Alligator mississippiensis: one gene and its partners. The protein of the gene in region 1 interacts with the protein of each later gene in a biochemical or structural test. Links are inferred from orthologs where the notes say so. Each region holds a gene or a part of one and is shown in the gene's direction. Other genes may lie near its edges.

Region 1 (7,921 bases):
TTGTCATGGATGTGGATAAATATAGGTATATCATAATCAAAAAAGGGCTTAGATTAATTTTGTCTATATGGTATAAGCCAGTGGATTTCAACGTCGTTAAATTCAAGACACCCCTCATTAATCTCAAAGCACCCTTCAGAAAAAGCCAGCTCTTAGTTTTCACAGGTTTATTTTTACTATGGAAAAATAATAGAGCATTTTTTCTGTTGCAAAGAACTTGGACCATGACACATCAGAAATTTTTTAACACTATGGACTCCTGTTTGAAATCTCTGGGTTCATCTTGTGAATCATGGCTGCTTGCAGATGTTTAAACCCCCACCCCCAAACCTCCCCAAAAACAATGCTTTACTTTAAACTTGGCATGCTCCCACACAGATCCCAGAGCATGGGACATGGGGCCATGGGGGAAGGCATGGTACACTGCGTTAGTTGGACCCAGATCACCAAAGTCTGTACAGAACAGTTGTTTTAGTGGGGCTTTTTTGGCACTTTTATCTAATAGCTGATTGACTCTCCTATTAGATAAAAGCCCAAAAAGCCCTACTGAAGTGCCCAATCTATACAGATACTAAGGAGCAAAAGGTTGAAGTAACTTGCTGCTTCTTCTGGTAAAGCGCTTTTTTTTTTTAACATCTGCATGCAGCCCATGTTTGCACACCTAACAGTACTAACATTGTGTACCACACCTTGGCACCCTTGCAAGGAACTCAGGGTACACCAGGGTGCTGCAGGACCCTGACTGAGAATCACTGGTCTAAGCAGAGTGACCGATAAATTGTAATCTATTTACAATCTTATCTACATTAAGAATTTTCCCAAAAGACTTTCCAGAATAACTATGTGGGAATAGTTATTTTGATACAAACCCCAAGGCGGTCAACTTTATTTCCAAGTTAGCCTCTAAAAGCTTTTTGATTTACAACAGTTTAATTATTCAAGAATAGTTACTTTGATAAATTTCCAAACGTGGGAAAGCCATTAGGATCTGACTCTGCATTCTTTCTTTACATGGACTCACTCAAGTCCACGGTAATCAGCAAAGACCCAGGAATCTGTGCATGCAGATCAGAAGGCCCATATACATCAGTGTTTAAAATTTGGAAAGGAACACAGTTTAAAATATATATATATTTCTATGTTAATTATTTAAAATGTTATCACAGGTAAATGCTTTTCATTCTAAAATCATTCTGAACCAGATATTACAAAATTATTCTGAACATGTTGTTAAAATTTTGTTTTAAATCAATATAAGACCATCATGCTTTGAGAATTAAAATACAAAAAATGAACCTGAAAACAGTTGCCCTTTCCCATTAACTTCAAACACTTCATGAACAAATTATGCCACTAAATGCATTTAACTTTCATGCACATTACATAAGTGTTTGTGAGACTGAGATCTCCATATGTCATACATTTCAGCCAATCATGCACATAACACAAAATGTATATTTATATTCATTACCTTTTTTCTTTCAGACAACAAAGTGATTGTTAAGCCTACATGTTCCTGCAGATGGGACTGTGTACAAGAAAATTAATATACTTCAGCAGATTATTTCTTAACATGGCACTCTGACTTTCTAAATACTACAATTTTTGTGTGTAATTTTTTCACTTTACTCCATCATATAGGAATAAAATACAAAACATTATTGTATGAAACAAAGTATTTTACCATTGGTTATACATCTTTGAAGACAAACATTCAGCTGTTTTAAAGCAGAATAATAGTAAAATAGAGAAACTCAAGTGAAAATTGTGTTTTGTTTGCATAATTCCTATTGGCATAAATGAAGTTATGCACATACATCAGTCACACTGATTACAAATGACCAGTTGGTTCATTGTCTAGTAAAGAAAACAGTGAGAACATATTCCCAGGAGTTCCAGTGTACCAATGCAAGCAATGTTAAAAACATTAGAATGTGCAAAGAATTTAGATCAGTTGCTCTCATTCAATCTAGTAAATTAGGCGTAAGTAGCTTCTAATTAAGTTAGAGGAACATAACAAACACACCCTTTTTCCTATGGGAGCTTTGCTGCCTGAAAAGAGGACATTGATTTAATATTTCAGTTAAATGCTGATGGCTGAATGCAGACTAAGAGGGAAGAATGACACTGCCACATGTTCTGTCCAAAACAGACTTCTTGAAGTAGCTGCTACCTCAACGATCAAATATTCAAAGCAGACTAGGTTTAATTTATGGAACTTTTTACAATGATAACCAAATGTGGTATGAATTTTGTATTAACGCTCTACAGCTCTGATTTCACAACTGATCCTACATGGACTGGTGATAGGCCCTCTGCCAGTTACAGGGCAGGAGTCAGCTAGGAAGTGGCCTTTTAAATGATGAGACTATTATTAGAATTACAAAACCCAGCAATAAACTCAAGTAACTTAAAAACCTTAGCAAAACATTTATAATTTTTACCAAACACACAAAAACATTGTGTGCAATTGGTGTCACCATTTCCCAGCATCACCAGCTTCTCTCATGGGAAAGATGCAAATGTGACAAAGGGAATGAAGAATTATTCAAATTATTGTTTAGTGTTCATATTATTTTTTAAATATACCCTCCCTGACAAAAGCTGGATTATTCCAAATCAGTCACAAAAAAGAAAAGTAAGGAAAGCAAAAATGGATAGAGGGCTGGGAAACATGACTTAGGAGGAAAGGGTCAGGGAAATGGGTTTACTTAGTGGGTGCATCCACACATCTACACAAGTAGACTAATTTCAAGTGCAGTATAGCATCACCCATCTACACAGGTGCAGCAATTGGGCTGGTGAACACTAATTTACAGTGCCATTGGATAGTCCTGTCTGACACAGGTACTATCCAGCTGCAGAGTAATTATTGCGCTTAACCATACATGTAGATGTTGATATTGGGATTAGTTTACTCTAGTTCATGGTAAACTAGGGTCATTCCAAAGAGGATGAAGCTAGACTATTCTCAGAAGTGGCAGATAACAGAATAAGGAGCAATGGTCTCAAGTTGCAGGAAGGGAAGTTTAAGCTACAATAAGGGTGGGCAAAATACAGCCGTAGGCTGGATCCAGCCCACCAAGGAATTTTATCTGGCTTGCAGCAGGTTCCTTGGCTCCGCCTGGCCCAAGGGCCAGGGGCAGCTCAAGCCACAGCACATGTTGCTGATCCCACTTCTCCCTGGTGTGCAGCGGGACAGGGGCAACACAGTGGCCAGACTCACTTTGCAGCTCCTTTCAGCCACTGCCATCACCAAACCCAGCCCCACTGCCCAGGCACCCTGGCCCATCTGCCTTGCACCCACCATCGGGGTACCAGATGGAGTGGGCAGATGGGGGTCTCCATGGAGCCTGAGACCCACACAGGCTGTGTGCTCAGCTGGGTGGACGAGACAGGGCTGCAGGTAGGCGGGAAATGCTGTCCAGGAGCAGGACAGGCAGGCAGGGACCAGGGCCAGGGCAATGACAGCATGGGGCCAGGCTCTGGGGTAGAGCCACCTAAGTTTTGGTGAGCTGTTGCAGACCATGGGGCTGGGAACAGGGTACTGACCACCTTGCAACAGCTCACGAAAACTCCCTAAGTGGTCCTCCAGCCCAAGTGATTTGTCACCCCATGGTTAGGTATTAGGACAAACTCTCACTAGGAGGGCAGTGAAGCACTGGAATGGGGCTGCCCAGAGAGACTGCAGAATCTCCATTCTTGGAGGTTTTTAAGACCTGGGGAAGACAAAGCTTGGCTGGGCTGAGAAAGCTGAGGCTGCTGCTTTGAGCAAGGAGCAGGGGGCTGGGAAGGTCGCTTCCAACCCCAGTGTCCTCTGGTTCACAGTTCACAGATTTCACAGACATTAGGGCTGGAAGGGACCTTGTAACATCATCGGGTCCAGCCCCCTGCCCAAGGGGCAGGAAGTCAGCTAGGATCCCAGCAAAATAAGTATCCAAGTGTGTTTTAAAGGTGTAGAGTAGGTGCTTGCACCACCCCTGGGGGGAGTCTATTCCAGCCCTTGGGGGCTCGGATAGTAAAGTTTTTCCTTATGTCCAGCCTAAAACAGTCTTGCAGGAGTTTGTGACCATTGGACCTTGTCATCCCTTGGGGTGCTCAAGTTGACCCCTCTTGCAGGCTTCAAGCTGTGGCTTTACACAGATGGTGAAGTGAGCTCCAGCCAGAAAGCTTCTATCTGCCTAGACGGAGGGGAGAGGCGCAGGTGCCCGTATTGCCAACTCTCCTTTTTGGTGTTGTTCTTAAAGTCTTTGCTTTCTTTTCTGTGTGTGTGCGTGTGTTAGTATTAGGAAATGTATAGCTACACACTTAGCTATATAGAAAAACTTAGCTTTCTTTTCTACACATACACATATATTAGTAATATATATTAGTATTAGCCTCTCTCTATATATAAACACATGGAAAAGAAAGACCTAAGTTTTTCCGAAGCGTGGTGTTTAAGTAAAGGCCCGTGCGAGCCGGCAATGCCGAGGCGCACCCGTGCTTCAGCCCCGGGTCGGCCCTGCCCGCGGGGGGCGGCGGCGAGGAGCTGCCCGCGGCCAGGCCGCGCTGGGGCCCGGCGCTGCCGCCGCCTCATGCCCCGGGGCCCGCCCGAGGGGCGAAGGGGAGCGTGTCCCCTGGGCCCGGCCGTGCCTACGGGCCACAGGCGGGGGGGCCAGAGCCGCTCCCCGCGCCCGTCGCTGCTCGGCCCGCACCAAGAGAGGCCGCGCGGCTCCGGGCTCCGGGTCGCGCCGGCCCGGGACAGCGAGGCCGGGGCGCTGGGGGGCGCTGCCGCCGCGCCGGGCCTGCCTGGCACCTCCCCTGCCGCGGCGTGCCCGCCCCCGCCATGGCCGACGCGGAGGACGCGGACGAGGCGGGCGGGCCGCAGGCGCAGGCGGGCTCGGCGGGCTCGCGGCCGGGCGGCGCCGACAGGATGTTCTCGCTCAAGAAGTGGAACGCGGTGGCCATGTGGAGCTGGGACGTGGAGTGCGACACCTGCGCCATCTGCCGCGTGCAGGTCATGGGTGAGCGCCGCCGGGCCTCGCCCGCTCTCCGGAGAAGGCCGAGCGGGCGGGCGGGCGGGCGGCTTTCCCGGCGGCCGCGTTTCGCCCCGCTCCGCCCCGCCCCGCGGCGGGGACACCCCGAGAGCTGCGGGCGCAGCCAGGCCCCGGGCAGCCGCGGGCCGTAGCCAGCCTCCCTCGAGCCCAGTCGGCTTCGCAGGTGATGCCAGCAACCCAGAGCCCGGCTCGCTGGCGTCTCCCTGGCCGCTCCGTGGTACCAGAGCCTCCTGCGCTGTCTGCAGGGCTTGGCTCCCTTCCACCCGTGTCCAGGTGACTGGAGAGCAGGGGCAGTGCCTCCCCTGGTAGATGGCATTTGGCTGTGGAGTAGTTACAGTCGCTCCTGGATCATCAGGGGTCTCCCCTGCATTCAGTTTCTGGGGATACAAAGCCTTTCTCCACCGGGGCTCTCAGCCGGGGCCATGAGGCACCCTGGGGTGCCAGATCCTTTGAATGGTGCTGTGAGGTGCGAGGAGATGAGCAGAGAAGCTAAGCAAATAAGCAGGTCCAGGGTTGTCCCTTCCTGGACCATCCCCCACCTAGACCTGGACACAGGCAGGGGTGAACCAGCTGCCCAGGGCCCCAAAATGGTAGCTTTTTTCCCATTGTCCGATTATGATTATCATTATTTCTGGCAAAAAGGGGGGCCCGATACTAAAAGCTTGCCCGGGCCTGGGTCTAGGTATGGTACTGCCCCCAAGCCCACTGACCAGCCCCTGGGGAAGGAGGTGAGTGCTGGCATCCATACATCAGCTCTTGAGATGTGGTGCTGCTCCATTCACAAAAGCTGTGGCGGACGCTTTGTCCGAGCAGGGATGCAGGCTCCTGTCCACAAAGGTTGAGAACCATCATTGCACACCATGGTACGTACGGTCCCTCTGCCTCTTTACAGCTCTGGAGTACTTTTCCCTTCCCAAGGAGCTGGACCACATGGCTCCTGCTCTTGCTGAAAACAGTAGTGCAACCATGGCCTAAACAGGGCTGTCGAACTTCTGAGTGGTCATGGGCCATGGGCTCTTTGGCCATGTGCTGTCCAGGCCACGTGGGCACCCCCCTCATGCTATGTGTCCTCCCCTGCTCCAGCTGCACAAAGAATAGGGGGTCTACTTAAATCACCGTTTTGCAGATTTAACAAAAACCACGAAATCTAGGAGTGCTCACCAAATCCAGAAAAAAAACCCTCAATAAAAATAAAATGCTGGCTCCCCAGTGGGAACTAGCAGTCCTTGTCGCTGTAGTAGCCCAGCCTCACAGCCCACCCAGGAGGGGAAGGCACTGGCTGGTGGGGGCAGCAAAATGAAGGGCAGCAGAAAAAATGTCCACTGTCCCCTCATTCTTTCTGCCAATCAGTACTGAGGTGTAGGGCCACATAAAGGACAGCTTGCAATCAAGTTGGCAGCCATCCCCTTAGGGCTTCCCCACCAATCAGTGCCAAGGGGTGGGGCTGCCAGAGCACATCCGCAAAATGTCCACAGAATTTTCTCATGATGTTGCAACCAGCCAGCAAAAATTGGTAAGTCTAACCATCACCTCCATGCTGCACTGGCCATGGACTTGCTTAGCCCCACAGGTGGCCCTGTGACACCCTGCCCCCGGGGGCAGGGACAGGTAGCAGAAGCTGGAGGAAGAAGGGGGAGCCTGGAAATCCCAGCAGCAGCAGCAGGAGAGCAATGAGGGGAGTGGTTCCTGGACTGGGAGCCACTGGTTAACTCCTTGGGGGCTGCATGTAGCCTTTAAGCTTCTAGTTGGACAGCCCTCTGTTAAGATTTTGACAACACGGCAGTTGAATATAATTTCATCTCTAGGTCGTGTGCATCTAGGACAGGATTAACTGTTCTAGTTCAGTGTTCTGTATCATTGGTAAGCAGTACGGAAACTAACTGCATTAGGCAGATATTCACATCACAAAAATCTCTGTAGGTAGCCTGCATCATCAGTCTCAGTAAAAGGGCTGAGGATTGTGGGTGTGGAAAACTGAACTATCCTTTGCATTGTAAGGGCAGTAAATAGTAAATAACATTTTCAGCCCTTGTATACAATTCCTTGCATCCAGAGATTTCAGTGTTATGCAAAAGCATATAAATATCAGTAAGGATTATTGGTTGTAGCTGTGTTGGTCTAAGGACTTAGGCAGACAAGATTCTTTGGTTAGATGTGATATCTTTTATTAGACCAACTAAATAGTTAGAAAAATTGTTCTTTGCAATAGCGTAGCCCAGCCATGAAGAACCCTGCATGCAGATCCAGGGGCACGCAACCACCTGCCCTCCCGGGCTGCATGCCCCCTCTCTCCCTGTGCCCACTGGATAAGCCATTCGCAGCTCTGTCTCTGGCCCTGCTCCAGCTATGCAGGGCTTGCCCCTCCCTCACCGCTGTTGGGTGGGGGGAGGTAGCAGTCAAGGCCCCAGTGGTGAGGGAGGGAGTGGGGTAGGGCTGGGGTCTTGATCTGTCTCCCCCCCCATGGCCCTTTCCCCTCCCCACAGACTTATCTGCTGGGTGGGAGGGGATCTTTCATTCCTTTTAAGTTCCAAAAGTGATCTCTAACCTAAAAGGGTTGGAGACCAGTGGTGTATATGCTTCTTTTTCAAGGGCTATCAATCCCAAACCCTTCAAAGTATTAAATTCACATACATGCACCCAAGTTACTGTTAAAGTTTTCCATATGTGAAGCGCATTTAAGAGTAATGTTACCCCATTATCCCATAATGTGGAAATTGACTTTTTTTAAAGATTAATTAGGGGTGCACCAATATATTGGTTGTCTATGGGATCAGCACCAATAAAGGAGAAATTACATTACTAGTTATCTTTTTTTTGGTTGTTGTAGTTTATAATTACGGCCGCAGGCCCACAGCATGTAGTCCAGTCCCCATGCCCTGCTG
Region 2 (7,759 bases), on another chromosome or scaffold:
ACAGTCTCTATTACTACTCAGTATAATGAATGACCCAATCACTCTTTGTAATCCAATCCTATTTATTCACACATCACAATTCATTATTCTGTACTTACCATTACTGGTAATTGTTTGTCACTTTCTACTCATCAGGAACCAATTAGGAATCTCCAGTCACCATCCACCATTAATTAGGTGGCAACTTCCACTCATTTTTACCTATTACAGTTTATTCCACTCACCAAACCTAAAGCATCATTCACTACCCACTGTTCTTTCCTATCATATTTCTATCCTGTGGTCACTACAATTCCCTGTTCCCTACTCCTAGTCCCCACCCTTTCCTTACTTGACTCACTGGGTGTATCTATACAAGACGCTAACTGTGCTGTAGCCTAATAACACTGTGCAGTAGCCTTCCAGGCAGAAACTGCGCTAATATGCTACTGCACAGTAGTAGTAGGCTACTGCACAGTAAGCATCACTAAAAACTGGTGCACCAGCACTACCGTGCAGTAGTGCAAGTTACTGAGCATTGATTTAGTACTTGGGGTTAACCAAGTACTAAACTTAATGTGCTGTAACTACGGCGCATTAATAAACGTGTAGACATGCCTAGTGGTCTTTATAACTGCCCACCATGGCTTCATCACTCTTGGCTGTTTCAGTTGTCTATCCAAGATTGCAGTGGTATTAGGTTTGGCCTGAGACTCCATTTGCTTTGCTGGACAGGCTGTTGGATGCCATTCCTGGGTGATAATTTTCACTCTCCAACAATCACTGATGGCCATGGGCTGTGGTCTCAGGAGCCTGTCAGGTCTTCTTGTGACTTTGCCATTGTCTGCCCTTTAGGGACTTTTGTTCCTCATTCCCCATTCATTGCATGTGATTCACTATTCACTGCTCATTGTTTGCTGATGTTTGCACTCTATAGCACATTATTTAAGTTACCCCTGGTGTCTTGTCATTTACAAGTTATTAACACCCTTTCACCAGTCAGTGTATATGGCTTGTTCACAAGTCACTCACCCCCATAGACCAGTCACTAGCTCCTGTTCACCAGTCAGTAGCACCTACCTGTTCATGGCTTGCTGTTCATTCACAGCAAATTACCACTCAACTGCTCTTTGCTTTCCTCTATCCCTTCTCTTCCTTTGACAAGCCCAGTGCAGTTGCTGCATCTAAATCAGGAAGGCACATAAGGGCCTTCCTGCCTGGCAGGGAGCCAGCATGATCCACATGAGAGCTTACCCCAGGCCACAGCATGCAGACCATTCTTCATGAGCAAGCCCTTGGGTTCAGACAAATCCACACTAGGGAAGGAGTTTGCTAAATCCCAGGGAGGTAAATTCTTAGCAACAATGTTCCAAACATGTCCAGCAGTAAAAGGCCCCAGGGACCAAATGGTTTAGCTGATACACACTTGCACTCCACTGCATGCTTCCCTGGTATGACAGAAAAGAGCTCACACCCCCCTGCAGTATGGTGCTCTTTGCTGAGCCCCCTGTTCCACTCCCCATTCTAAGGTATCACCCAACCTTCCCACCCCATTCCACACCCCATGGCATAAGTCCCCTGTCCCTTTTCCTGCAGCACAGCACCCTCTACTAACCTACCTGGTGCTTCCTGAAACCCTTGCCTGGTCCCACAACACCTCCTCCCTGTAGCTGGGGCATCAGGATTGTTCATACCCACTGGGGACCAGGCTCTTTTTTGCATCTTCCAAAGGTGCTTGCTGGGCACAGTTGCCTAGACCTTCGACTTCCCTTCAGGGCCTGTGGAAAAGCAAGGGTCAGGATGGAGACACAGGCCCATCTTGCCCAGCCCCTGGTCTCCATGAGTGGGCAGCCCCTGCAGCCTAAGCAAAAGGGACTAGGGTGTCCCCAGTGGGCAGTGTTGAGGGGATCCCTTCTCATCCCTCACCCCTGATGTTGGATGACTTATCATTTCCTCCCCTTTCCTGCATCGGCTCACGTGCCTTATGGTTAGGGCCGTCCCTGGGGGGAAGGCAGGGGTGGTAAATCAGGGTGACCAACCTGGGTCGTGCGTTTTGGGGGGCCCTGCGCAGTGCCATACAGGCCCTGCCGCCTTCTGCAGGTGGTTGCCACCTCCCTCCCCTCTGCTGCCGCTGGCTTCTGTGGGCGGTTGCCATCCCCCTTCCTGCCCCACTGGTGATGCTGCCACTGGCTACTGCGGGCAGTTACCACCCCGACCCTCCGGCCCCACACAGGCTGATATGCCCTGGACTCCGCACACCACTAGGGACAGCTCTGCTTATGGCCACCCTCAGTGGCCCCCTGCCTCATCTAGACAGGGCAAAGCAGAGTCTGGAAATGCCCTGCTCCCCCTGAGGCAGCTCCCAGAAGCCATTGGGAAGGCAGGGTCAGCTGTGGGCAGGAGGACAATTCCTATGCTAGACAAGCAGAGGACAGTGCCCCACTACACAAACGCACGCATATGAACACTCAGGCATGCACATAAACGGATTTGCATGCATAGGCTGAATTAGGCTCATGTAGGGTAGTGTCCACACAAGTACGTGTGTGTAAATGCAAACACACGAACGTGCATGCAATTTAAATCTACCAGTATGGGGTAGTGTTCATACGCACACTCTCATGCACATGCACACAAACCCAAGAATCTAGCCAGTATAGGGCAGTTTCCACAAACAAGCACATAGACATGTACATAATCTGAATCTAGCCAGTCTGGACCAGCATCTGCACACACACACACACACACACACACACACACACACACACACACACACACACAATAGTAGGGGGGAGTGCCACACACACACTACCAGGGGGTAGTTTGGATCAGCATCTGCACACACACACACAACCAGGGGTACTGCCACACAAACCAGCAAGGGGTGGTGCCACACTGGCACTCAATCTTCCTCCCCAAGTCCAGACTGTATGGAACAGGGTGCCACTGACCCCTCAGCTCCTCCATGTACTCTGTGCTGCTATGAAAACATTCACGCTGCCAGCCCTGCACTGCACAGAGATTTGCCGGTGTCAGAAACAATTCAGGTAAATCCACACGAACTGACACGCAGAAAAAATCACACCACAAAGCAAGTGTGGGAGAGGAGCACAGAGCAGGCCAGGCGAAGGGCACCAAGCTTGACCCACAGGACAGGGACACACAGCGTGTCTGAACAAGTACTAGAGGCTGTTCTGCAAGTCCCTGGAATTGCTGTAACCCTGTTTTTTGAATAAACTGATGTTTCCTGCTACTGGCCTCCGTATTCATTGACAGTGGCACTGAGATACAGACCCATCTGGGGTGGGGCATGTCTGAGGCTGGTGACACAATAGTGTGCGAGTGGAAGCACGGGCTGAAGCTGGCCCACCTGGGATGCACATAGCCTGGGCACAGGCTCCAATCCCTAAGGTCATAGGGTTGCCAACTCTGAAGCTATTCCATTTTTTTTTCCCCAACATGATATCAGTAATTGTACTGCTCAAACCATTAACAATATCAATTTCCCCGATTGCTTTCAATAGTCACTGGGAAATCTATGCCGATTTTGGTAGACTCCTGGCCAAGCTGGGAGGGTTGGCAACCCTATAAGGTCACAGGAATCAGCAAAACGCCCACCCTGTGGGCTTACAGCTGGAAGGAAACAATGTAAACCCTGACCTCACTCTCCCCTGCTGTGAGTGTGGGTGCCCCCCATCCTCAGCCCTGCTCTTTGGGTATCTTTCCCAGACCCTGGGCTCCAGCCCTGCCCCCTCAGGCCTTCGTGCCTGGCCCCGTGGGATGCACAGACAGGAAGGGGTGACATCCCCCAAATCAACTCGCCCCCACAGCTGGGGCACCCCAGGGAACAGCCTGAGGACAGGAAAGCTCATAGCTCACACCCCGCGGGGCACCAGTGCCAGGGGCGGGGCCGGGCTAACCCTAAGGTTCCCGCCTCCCCTCCCCCTTGCACTGACACTCCAGTTCCCGAGCCCGCAACTACAGCAATGAGGGGGGGGAGCGCTCCGAATCCTCATCCCTGAATGGCTGCCCAGCCTGTCCATTCTCATGCGTGAAGGAAGTACCTCCCCGCCCCCTCTCCCCTTTCCGCCCCCAAGGGCCTATTCCCCGCCCCTGTGTGGAAACGGCCCTCAATGGGAGCCCCCCCCCGGACTCGTCCGTTCCTATTGGCTCGCCCACCTGGCGATCGAGCATTTCAAACCTCCGCCCCGCCCCCTGCCTGCAACCGTTGGGGTAAACAGCTTTCCCCCCACCTTCCCTTCCGCTCTTCTCGCCTCCCTCCTCCCCTTCAACCGCCGCCTCGCGAGGTTCGTATTCAAATCCCTCCAATCGGCCCGCTGGCTCCGCCCCCCGTCTCACTCTCTATTGGCTTTCGCCCGTCGCGGACGTTTGTTGTCAACGTCCTCTCGGGGACAGGGGGTGGGAGGGGGCGACCCACTCCGTTCCACCAGGCTTGATTGGGCGGCCGGGATTCGGAGGGGGCGTGGCCGGCCGGGGCCAAAGGCTATAAAGTCCTTTGCTGGGCAATCGCCAGCCTCAGTGCAGAGGGTGGGAGACGGCTGGAGAGCTGCCAGAAGGGGCGGCCTTGTCCGGGGAGGGTGGGCCGGACGAGGTGGAGGACAGGGGGCAGCCCAGCCCAGTGTGGGGGAGGGCGTTAGTGGGATTGGGGGGGCTTGGTGGGCACAGGTGGGGAGGGGGGGGCCTGGGAGGAGACCCTGCCTCTCCCCACCCAGTGCACAGGGGACTCTGTACGGTGCTGGGCTGCCCCTGTGCACTTTGGGGGGGCCTGTCAGTCTAGGGGGGTGAGGGACCCCCGGTCTCTGCCAACTTCCAGCCAGACCCACCACCATGGTGAGTGGCTCTCGATCCCTTTCTCTCTACATCTCCTTAGTGCCCACCCACCAGGTTACAGGGTGGCCCTTGGGTGGGTGGAGCTGGTTGCACCCCCGTGTTAAGAGGGGCCTCACTTTAACCTCTTCTCGGGGTGGGCAGGTGGGTAGGCCCTATGGAGCAGGGACCTGTGTGTTGGTGGTGGTCATAGCAGCTGTAATGTGATGCTAGGCCTGGTGGCTGTTGGGGTGTGGGGGAGGAGCATGTACATTTTGGGGTGTTTGATTCCTCTTCGATATACAGACTCAGAGGATGGCCTAACAGTAACTCTGTGTGTGTGTGTGTGGGGGGGGGGGGTGCGGGGTGTTCCTGGCAGCCCTTGGTCTGCTGCTTGGTTTGGGGCGTGGGAATCTGCTGTCCTGGGCTATCGTTATTTACCAATAACAGAGCAACCCCAGCCCTTTTATATGGTTTTGGGGGTGAAAGGGGTGTTGGTGAAAGTTGAGTCCATTTAAACAAACTAAGGAAGCTTTAACAGGCCTTATCTGGAGGTGAAAGTTGACTCGGGTTTTTTGTTTTCCATCTGTGAGAATGGCTGCCTCCTTTAAAAAGCTGCTGTTCCACTGCTAGCTTGAAAGTGGCTATAGAGTGGGTTGGCTGCTTGTTTTGGTTCTTTTTTTTCTTGTTTTGTGAAGCTTAGAAAAACCACAGGGGCCAGTTTTTTCCTCTGCTGGGCCCAACTTTGCTGCAGTCTAAGTGGGGGATTCTGCTCAAATGTCTCAAATCCCTGTAAAAATGAGGTCGTGGGTAGTGCAGTAATCTGTGAGTCCAGGCGGGGGTCAGGTCCCCTGCAAGAGAGACTCTAGCAAGTAGCTGGGGAAGTGTTTTTCCTTCCAAGGCCTTGCCTAGCTCCTACAGTTGCTGTTTTATTATCTTTTTTTTGGTGCAGTTTTTTCCTTTTGGATGTTCCAAAAAAAAAATGATTGGAGATGTCCAGTTTTTCAGAGGTGAATCGGAGACCCAGAAGGTGGCCCCCTTAGTCCAGTGCCTGGGCTAGTAGATTTTTTACACTGCTCTTGCAAACTTTAGGAGGTTGGTTTGTGGCACATGTACATGAAACTCCTTTTTTCACTCTTGGTGGGCACATGGCAAGTTAGCGAGCGTCTGAAAGGCTGTCAGATCAGCATGCAGCGGGGCTTTCAGTGGCCAGGTCCATGCCTGTAATGCCTGATTTTATTAATATTTTACTCTCATGGCATGTTTGCTTCTAGATGCAGCTGCAAACAAAAGCTGGGTTTTAAGATTTGAGGTGCTTCCAAGAGGCCTGAATTATTAAAATCTACATGGCCTTTAAAGCTCAGGCATCTGGAAATGGCCAGCTGCAGCTGAAGCATCATGGCCTAATTTCTTCCAGGTCTTAGGCCTCTGTTGTGGGGACAAGCACCTAGAGTGCGTGTATTTTTATGGTTGAAAAAGGCAGGAAAGTGGGAGATATTCATCCCCTCTGTATGGTGCTGACTTCCAGCTCCTTCCTGTTGGGGAAGGGACCAGTGGTTGAGCCCCAGGCCAGGCCCTTCCCCTTATGGGCCTAGTGGTAGAGAAAAGGGAATGGAGTGCAGCCGGAGCTCTTTAAGAGATCTCCTGATGCTCCAAGTGGCCCCTAGCTCTACTGCAGTCTTTTCTTGCCTTCTGGCATTTTCACAGGTCACCTGGGTTGGGGAACAAGGGGGTTTTGGAAGGGGAGGTTGTGGGGGAGGGGGGGAGGTTGGCAGGCTGTCACCACAGGAGTGTGTCAGTACTCAGGCCTGTGGTGGATGAACAGCAGCTGCTGGCCGAAACTTCTCTGCTGAGGCTTTGTTGGCTTTGCCGGAATCTCCTGTTTGATGTGGGAAGGGGGCTTCTGACTTGCCTTCTTCTCCCAAATGCTTTTTCAGAGGCTGGGGGATAGCTGAACTCTCCCTCCTCAAAGAGGACAGGCTGGGCTGTTTCTCTCACAGACCTGATCCAACAGATTAGGATTTGGGAGTCCTTGGAGTCTGAATCCTGGCTTAGTTGTAAAGAGGGGGTGGAATTTGGGGGTACAAGGTAGGTAAGGGAAGATGTGGAGGGAGAATGGGGGGGGTACTGGGGCTTCTTCCACCTGATGCTTGCTAGGGTCCATAGCCATAGGTCCTTTTCCTCTACCCCCTCCCTGAGTTATGACTGAGATGTGAGGGAGCTAGGTTGCTGGGGCAGGCCTGTAGCTGTGTGGGGCTGTCCAAGTGAGACTGCCTGATGGCAGGGCTCTGGTCCCATTTTCAACCCCCCGTCCCCCTCCATTCTGAACCATTCTGCACTGTTGAGTTCCCCTTCCCTGATCTGGAGCCTTGTCAGGGCCCCAGTTTTCAGCTGAGACTTTAGGGGAGTGTCAGATGTAAGGCAGACCGTTTGCTGAGATCAGTTGAGGCTTCCTGAGCCTGGGGAGCTTGCAGGAGACTGCTACCTGCAGCTTCCTTCCAGAAATAACTTGGGTGCCTTGGCATCAGGCAGGTGGGGGGATGTCCTCCTGTCCTCACTCACCAGTGTTCTCAGCTGCCACTATCTCATGGACTTGGCAGCAGTTAGTCTGGCATCTTGCTGGTTTTCTCCGTTGTGTTGTCCCAGTCCAGCTTGGGGGTTGACCAGTGTCATCTGCAGTGGGGGAGGGGTGGCTGTGGTTTTGATCAAGGTGATCAGAATCATTGAGCCTGATGTGTACCAATTACACTCCAAGGGACCTGGGATTTGCAAGAACAGCAGGTCTGGTGGGGAGTGGGGTGGGGAGGGAGGATTGGTGTAATCCCTTGCAGAGGTGCTGGATCCCAAATAGATGCCTGTGCATCCTCCACCTGGAAATCTCCAGGAAGGGAGGCTTCCCCAGGCTCTTGCTCCAGTGTCTGGACAACTTAGAACTAGGAAAGCATTCTACTGC
Region 3 (7,395 bases), on another chromosome or scaffold:
CCATGATCCCCTCCCCCTGCCCCCTCTCTTCTGCCCCTAGTACTTACCGGCTTGGAATTGGCTGCAGCTCCCTGCTGCAGCCACTGGGGCTGCCCGAATCATCATAGCTCTCTGAATCTTTTCTGAAGATTCGTAGAGCTTTGAATCAATTCAGACCTTTTAATTGGTCCCCTGATTCAGTTTGGATTCAGAGATTCGGCCGCTGAATCAGGCTGAATCTCTTCTGAATTGAATCACCACCCAAAGTTTCACACAGCCCTATTACAGGCACAACAGGGTCTGTTGGCTTCCCTGTGGCGCCCCCCCAAATTGCTGTTAAGCAGAGATCCCTTTCTCCCCTCTCCCATAGCACAGACTGTAGCCAGCATGTGGTATGCTAGCTAATGCTGTGTAAGGCAGATAGGACAGTGTCCACTTAGGGCTTTCTGGAGGTAATCAACAGGTAGCTGGTAGGGACGAGGACCACTTCCCTGGGAAGTTGGCCACCCTAACTGTAAAATATTGTCTTCTGATCTCTAACCTAAACCTATTCTCCATCAGCTTATTACCACTGTTCCTTGTCACTGCAGGTGGTGCTGGGGAGAAAAGGGCTCTGCCTATTTGCTGTTGATCTCCCCTGAGCCGGGTCTCAGTTCTCTTCCCCTGTACTGTGATCAGCTGTAGCCCGGCTGAGGGAGGTAGGGAGAGCCAGGGCTGTGTTCCTCGCCCAGCTGAGCCACATGGGGCTGCGGAGCTGTTGGGAGTCCCTGTCTCCTACCACCTGGCTGCTGGGTGCTTTGAAACTCAAAACGTTTTGAAACTTTTGAAATGTTTCAACTAGCCTCGTTTTCTTTCAAGGCTGTTTCGAAGCCCTTTGTTTCGATTCAATTTAGCTGTTTCGAGCTTGGAATGAGTTGAAACAGTGTTGAATCGAAACAGGCAGCAAAATTTTGCACAGCCCTACTAGCCAGCAGGCAGACCCCATACTGAAGCAACCTTGTGCTTCAGGCAGCTGGGATAGTGTCTGCACATGCACCGCTGCAGAGTAAAAAACTTTGCAGCAAGATAGTACTTATATTTACAAGTGCTACCTTGCTGCAGAGTTAGTTCACTCAAGACTAATAGGGGCACACGTGTAGATGTTCAACATTTACTGTGTAGCTAAGTAGTCTACTCCACCGTAAACATTTTGTGCAGGCAGAGAAGGGAAGCTGCTAGCTCGTGGTGGTGTGGTACAAAAGGCAGCAGACAAGATGATGGGTGCCCCCTTGTCCTTTCCATCCCCTGCCAGGAACTCTCCGCCAATCAGCATCAAGGGGTGGGGTGGCATGAAGTGCTGTCTTAGTCTGTGGTTACTGCTTTTGACTGATGGGATTTTTGTTTTGATTTAAAAGGTTACAACAAAATACTAGAGCTAGTTACAATATTCTGTGCTGAAATTTCTCTCTGTCCTGAAAAATAGATTAATGAATGCTGATTTTCTTCATACAGAAAATGTCTAATCTACCTAAAAATGTTAGCTCTCTTCCTGGAGGAGAAGTAAAAACAATTTCCTTTTATTCTCCAAATATCAACTTTAAATGGTACTTTGTCTCATCTTGATTCAATTCTTCTGGGCAAATGAGTAACTATAGTAGATCTTTTTCAACTGAAAATGTTCAAATGAAAATACTTTGCTCAATTTCTCACAATAAAAACACCAGTTTTATCAACAGCTCTAAAAAACTTGTACTGAACATAGGAGACCGGGGTTTGATTCTCAGTTGTGACACGGAGTTCTTCACTGAATTTTAGCATGTCACCTAATCTTTTTTTTTCTTCCATTCTTCATCTATAAAATGAGAGCAACAGTGCTTTCTTCTTCCCTCAATCTAGCTTGTTCAGACACTTCTTAAAAACATGCTTATTTGGATTTGTATGACAGTTGGCACAAGTAGCTCCTGATGGGAGTATTAGGGCCTTTTGTTTTTACTGTTGACAGTAAATTATGCTTATGCAATGAGGAAGTAGGGGGAAAAAGAGAATAGATCAAGTGAATGACAAATTCAGTTTACTAAATGGTGCAATTCAGTTTATTTGGCCAGTTCTAAGGTGGCTCAGCCAGAGATCTCAAAGCCCTTGAACCAGGGGCGATCTAGATCTATCAGGAATCCATTCGGTCCCATACATGCTGGGAAAAATGCTGTTACAGTAACTGCTGAATTTTGTGGCAGCATCAATTTATTCTTCCATCACAAAACACCTCCATTTCCATTTCCATTACCACTTCCTTCCAGTTTCACACAACTACCTGGGAGTTGAATGTAATTATCACCAGGGCTTCTTTCTCACAAGGATAGGCTACATTCTCCAGATAGCATGGCTCTATTCCAGTTCTCTAGACACTATTCAGGAGTCCTGATGGAGAGCCTGCAATTTACCAGGAAAGAAGAGAGTTTTTATTTATCATCTGGTCACCCCTCCCAATGCCAGCTGAGGATCAGAGCCCCATTCACCAGGCACTCACCAGGAATATAACACCAATCCGACCTAGTAGCCTGGGGTGCTTGTACAGGTGACGGGGGTTTCGTTCTCCCTAAATTGAAACAATGGGTTTTTAATTGTGTCATTTAAAAACCCACCATTTTAATTTAGGGAGAACAAAACCTCAGCCATGTGTACAAGGGTGAGGGGGCCTGATCCTTTTTTTTTCCTGCCTCCTGCGGCGGGGCGGAGGGACGAGCTGCCGGCAACCGGCCAAGCAGTCCTTGAGCTGCAGGGGAACCTGGCCCTTCCCTCCCTTCCCTGCAGGGCGCCCTGCAGGCAGCACCTGCCTGCTAGCACCTGGGGGGTGACGCCACCGTGGAGGGAAGGACCAGGACCCACACATCTTGGGGGTTGTGTGACCCAGCGGTAGCTTATGCAGGCAGGCTCAACTGAAGGGATAAAAAAAAGTGGCAAGGAGCCTGATCTTTTTTTCCCCAGTCTACCTGCCTGAGCTGTGCAGGGCCCCATGCTTCCCTCTGCAGCAGTGGCATCCCATGGGACCACCTGGGTGAGCTGCTAGCAGGCAGGTGCTGCCTGGGCGGTGCTGCCACCATGGAGGGCAGCACCAGATCCCACTCAGCTCAGGCAGGCAGGCTCTTTTTTTTTTTCTCTGTTGGGCTGGGTGCTAGTGGGCAGGGGCCACCTAGAAGATGCTGCTATCATGGAGGGAAGGACTGGAGTCCCCTGCAGCTCAGGGACTGCTTGCCACCCCCTCTCCACCCACTATGGGAGAGGCAAGTAGGCTCCAGCGCCCTGTGTACCATCCCTTCCACCTTCCCGCTGCCTGGGACTTCCCAGGAATGGCTAGCTTGCCCCTGGGGCAGTACAGCAAGGTGGCAGGAGAGTGGCTGGGTGTGCTGGAGGTGGGTGAAGGTGGTGGGATTGGTGCCATGAGGCACTGGAAGCCCAAGCCCAAGTACATTGGCTTCTAGCACCCTGTTGCATTTTGTTCTGTAGCAAACTAAAGTACCTCCAAGGGGTTATTTAAAGCAAAATACACCTCTGAACGTGTAAATAGCAACACCATTAAAGCAGAATACACTGCTGAATATGTAAATAGCAATGCCATTAAAGCGGTGCAAAAGGACAATTAAGCCACTTTAATGGCCAATTTTGTTGCATGTCTGCAGTTTTTGTTCACTGCAGTCTGTGAATAAAACAAGAGTGGGAGTGGGCCGGGGAGCACAAAACACAAGGAGCCTGCGGGAGCTGCCGGTCAGGGCCCGCGGGCTGCGCACGGTGTCAGAAGCCCAAGCAGAAGGCTGTAGCTGGGGTGGGTCCGGCGGGAGGACAGTGGTGCAGCTGCACCCCCCCGACTTCCGATTCCTGCCCCATCCAAACTATGGAACCGACGGCCGGGAGAAGCAGCGGCCTTTCCATTGGGGCAGCGCTGGGGGAGGCAGCTGCCTTCCTGATTCAGCCGAGCCAGCCCATGGGGTTTTGCTCTTCCCCAAAAGGGAGAGTGTTCACGTGCGTGCATCCCTGTCCCGAGCCCTGCAGCAGCGGGAGGGCGAGAGGCCCGCGCGGGCGAGGGTAGCCAGACAGCCCAGTGCGCCCAGCCACCCGCCCGAAGCCCGGCAACGCAGAGTCACGGTGACTCGGCAGAAGGCGCCGCCCTGCGCTGCTCCTTTAAATAGCACCAGCTCCCAGCGCCCCCCGCCCGTGAGGGAAAAGCACGGGGAAAGTGTTGGCCGGTCACGCAAGATCGCAGCACGGGACAAGACTCGCCCCTTCCCGTCCGCTGTGCCTGGAGACCGTCGTGTGCGCGCCGCCGCGCCGTGCTGATAAAGTTCTTGTTGCAAACACTGAATCCGGCGGCGTCGCCCCGGCCCCGCCCCCCACTTCCGGCTCTGCAGCCGCGGAGGAAGGAGGAGGAGGCCGCGGCCCGTTCCCGGCTCGGGCCTCGCGGGGATGGTGTTGGCCGCTGCGGCGGGAGCCGGGACCTGAGGCGGCGGCGGCCAGGTGAGCGCGGCCCGGCCCGCCGTCAGCTGCGCTCCCTTGCTGCTCCGGCTCGGGGCCCCCCCCCACCCCCGCGGTGCTAGCGGGCGGGCCGAGGCGGGGCCGGCGGGAGGCCACAACCCTGGGACCAGCCGGGTCGGGGGCCCCGCGTTGCCCCTCCCGGGGGCTCCCGTCTCTGTTCCGCGCCCCTCCGGCCCCCTCCCTCTCCAGGGCGGCTCTGGGCTCTCGCCTCGCCCCCCCCAGGGACCCCGGGCACTCCCTGCCCCTGGGTCGGGCGCTCGCACAGACCTCCGCTCTGCTTCAGCACCTTGGCAGGCGCCACCAAGGAGGCAGGAGAGCACAAACACTCCTGCCTCTGGTCGGCTTGGTCCAGCAGCTGCCCCCTGCACTGCATCATTTGGCTCACAGGCCCCCCCCCCCCCTGCTTTGGGAACTTGGAGTTGCTGCTCCCCTGCTGCCACACTGGGCTCTTGGGGCTGGCAAGGGGGGCAGGATGCCAGGAGCAGATCCCCACGCGTGGGGCTCAGACCCTATCCAGGTGCAGAGGACCCGGCCCTGTGTCAGGCTTGGTCTGGCTCATGGGTCAGCCCTCATCTGGCCCTTGGGGCCAAAAATCAGAGCACCACTGAGTTAATCCATAAGGTGCATCTCTCCTTTGCCTTCTGCCTGACTTCAGACTAGTGTGGTTACCTATGTATCTTTGCTGGTAGATGTGACTCCTCCCTGTGAGGGGCCTTCTGCTGTGCTCTTGTGCTTTGGTGCAAAGCAGCAGGAGCCAGGTCCACAGTGGTGTTTAGGTGTATAACTCCCATTGAAATTACAGCATTTGGAAGCTGAGCTTTGAAACGAGGGCCTTGTAAGACCAGGCCTACGTGCCCCAGCTTATCTGGTCTTCTATCCCACTCCCCTTAAAAGTAGAACCTCTGCCAAGCTTGTTTCTCTTCCCCCTTTCTGCATTGAAGGAGCACAGCTGCCTGGACTATTTTCTGTCCCTTCCTCTGTTCCAGAGAGGGAACCAGTGAATTTTCATTCTGCCCTGCCTCACTTTGCCTTAATTAAATTTATATTTGCCCTTGGATACATGGCTTTGTCTAGTCTGAGTCAGTAGCCTAATACCAGATGCTGTCTGTCTTGGTGCTTTCAACCTTCTTGCATTTCTTATCAGTACAGCATGCCAGCTGATACTGTGAAAACTGTTTTCCTTTTAAGATGACCTTACTGGTGCACGTCTTTGCCATGTTGTTTTTTGAGTTTTGTTCTGAATATTTTCATTTAATTTTGTATGCTCCTTTACTAAATGCACCAGCACTTTCAGGTTCTTCTCAAGTTAGGCATGTAAATCCCAGTCTGGAACCACATTGCTGCTTTCAGATTTTACAGTGGACTTGGCCAAATTGGCAGGGCTAAAATTTTTTCCCCAGTGGCTTTTTATTTTGTGGTATGAATGAGTGTGATAAGAGGGTGAAAAAGCTGCTGATACAGGGATCTGATAAAGTTCAGTTTTGTGAACTGCTTGCAAGAAAGGAGCATCCATGTGCAGAGTGTTCTACCAGATTCTTCATTTCACGTCTCAGATTGGCCTCCATGGTGTTCCCACTGCATTGATTTATTTATTTATTTTTTGGTTCTGATTACATCACCCTACCTATAAACTCCTCAGTTGGCTTTCTGTTTTCCACTCTAAATTCATACTTCTATGGAATATTTTAAAGGCCATATGTAATTCTGCCTCTTCCTGCTTTTCTGTAGCTTTTTATTCAACTTGACAACTTGTGTAAAGACCCAAGCTGTCCTGGCTTGGGGTTTTTTTTTTCTCCTCTACCTTAATTTAGTTAATTCATATATGGCAGCTTAAGAATGAACCCTCTCCTCCCCTCCAAGAATAGTAAGGCCTCAATGTCTTGGCTTTTCCATTCCTTTTGGTGGCATAACTGCTGGCAAAAAACAATTATCTACAATCAGGTTGTTTTTTTATCAGTGTGTTCTGGCTTTGCTTTTTGGCATTTTCAAGCACTGATCTTTGTATGCTGCCTATTAATGTAATAAATTACTTTATGCAGGGGGGGTTGGATAGTGACTTACTGGGCAACTCTTTCTTAGTTGGTATCAGGGAGGACTGCTATAACAAAATATCACTTCCGTCTTTGAGCCTCTCTTTGAGTACCTGTCTAGGTATTTACTGTGATAATGATAAGGAGCACCTAACAGAGAATGGTATCTCTGTTCACTGTAGATGCTGGTAATTGTCAAAGCTGCCTCAGGACCGGAGATTTTTGTGTTACCTCTTCCTATTCCATGGTATCCCCCTTCCCTGATGTTCTGTGTGGCCAGAACTGTTGGGAGAAAGTTGTTTCTGAATACAGCTTTTGATGTCTGTACCTTGTTCTCTACGGATATGCATGGTCTTTTCATATTTGCAACTTCTTAAAGGTTCTCTGATTGCTTGGATGGGCTCCTTTATTGAAATTCTATAGAAATAACAAGTTCAGGAAGTGGTATGTTTAGCTAAGAAAGAAATAGAAAGAAATTTCCTTGATAGCAGAGTGAAACTTACTGAAATTTCTCTGCTGTAATTGATTCTATGCTAGAACCTGATGCACTGTAAGCCAGTTCACTCCATATTTACACCTGGACTTGTCTCAACCCAACTTTAAATATTCCGTTCGGTGCTTAACCTCATGTCCTAAAACATTAATGGCTTTTATTGGGTGCAGTCATTTGTCGTCTTGCAAAATAACATTTTCTTAGTGGCTTTATCAAGTGGCTTTTACTGCCACTGAGTAGCATGCTATGGATACCACTGAACTCTCATTTATCTGGAACTCAAAATACTTTATGTAATTATTTACTTTTCTTTTTAAAACTATTTTGGTTGTCTTGCACTTTGAGGAGTGCTTACCAGTCTCTCTGCTTGCATTCTAGGTTGATGGT

Evidence for each region. The genes of interacting proteins can lie anywhere in the genome.
Region 2: the proteins of RNF7 (region 1) and UBE2S form a complex in vitro, tested with the Homo sapiens proteins (3 studies listed by BioGRID). The link is inferred for Alligator mississippiensis from reciprocal best matches to the Homo sapiens genes RNF7 and UBE2S.
Region 3: the proteins of RNF7 (region 1) and UBE2F form a complex in vitro, tested with the Homo sapiens proteins (10 studies listed by BioGRID, with this or other methods). The link is inferred for Alligator mississippiensis from reciprocal best matches to the Homo sapiens genes RNF7 and UBE2F.

The regions. Positions count from the first base shown.
Region 1 is NC_081830.1:55,992,899-56,000,819, forward strand, and holds the start of RNF7 (RING-box protein 2), read left to right. Parts: upstream 1-4,811; 5' UTR 4,812-4,828; coding exon 4,829-5,006; intron 5,007-7,921. Other genes in the region: uncharacterized protein LOC109284208, read left to right, coding at 1,486-1,497. UniProt on the Homo sapiens protein: Catalytic component of multiple cullin-5-RING E3 ubiquitin-protein ligase complexes (ECS complexes), which mediate the ubiquitination and subsequent proteasomal degradation of target proteins.
Region 2 is NC_081828.1:74,782,512-74,790,270, reverse strand, and holds the start of UBE2S (ubiquitin-conjugating enzyme E2 S), read left to right. Parts: upstream 1-4,664; 5' UTR 4,665-4,827; coding exon 4,828-4,830; intron 4,831-7,759. UniProt on the Homo sapiens protein: Accepts ubiquitin from the E1 complex and catalyzes its covalent attachment to other proteins. Catalyzes 'Lys-11'-linked polyubiquitination.
Region 3 is NC_081827.1:187,282,604-187,289,998, reverse strand, and holds the start of UBE2F (NEDD8-conjugating enzyme UBE2F), read left to right. Parts: upstream 1-4,300; 5' UTR 4,301-4,467; intron 4,468-7,386; 5' UTR 7,387-7,390; coding exon 7,391-7,395. UniProt on the Homo sapiens protein: Accepts the ubiquitin-like protein NEDD8 from the UBA3-NAE1 E1 complex and catalyzes its covalent attachment to other proteins. Together with the E3 ubiquitin ligase RNF7/RBX2, specifically neddylates cullin-5 (CUL5).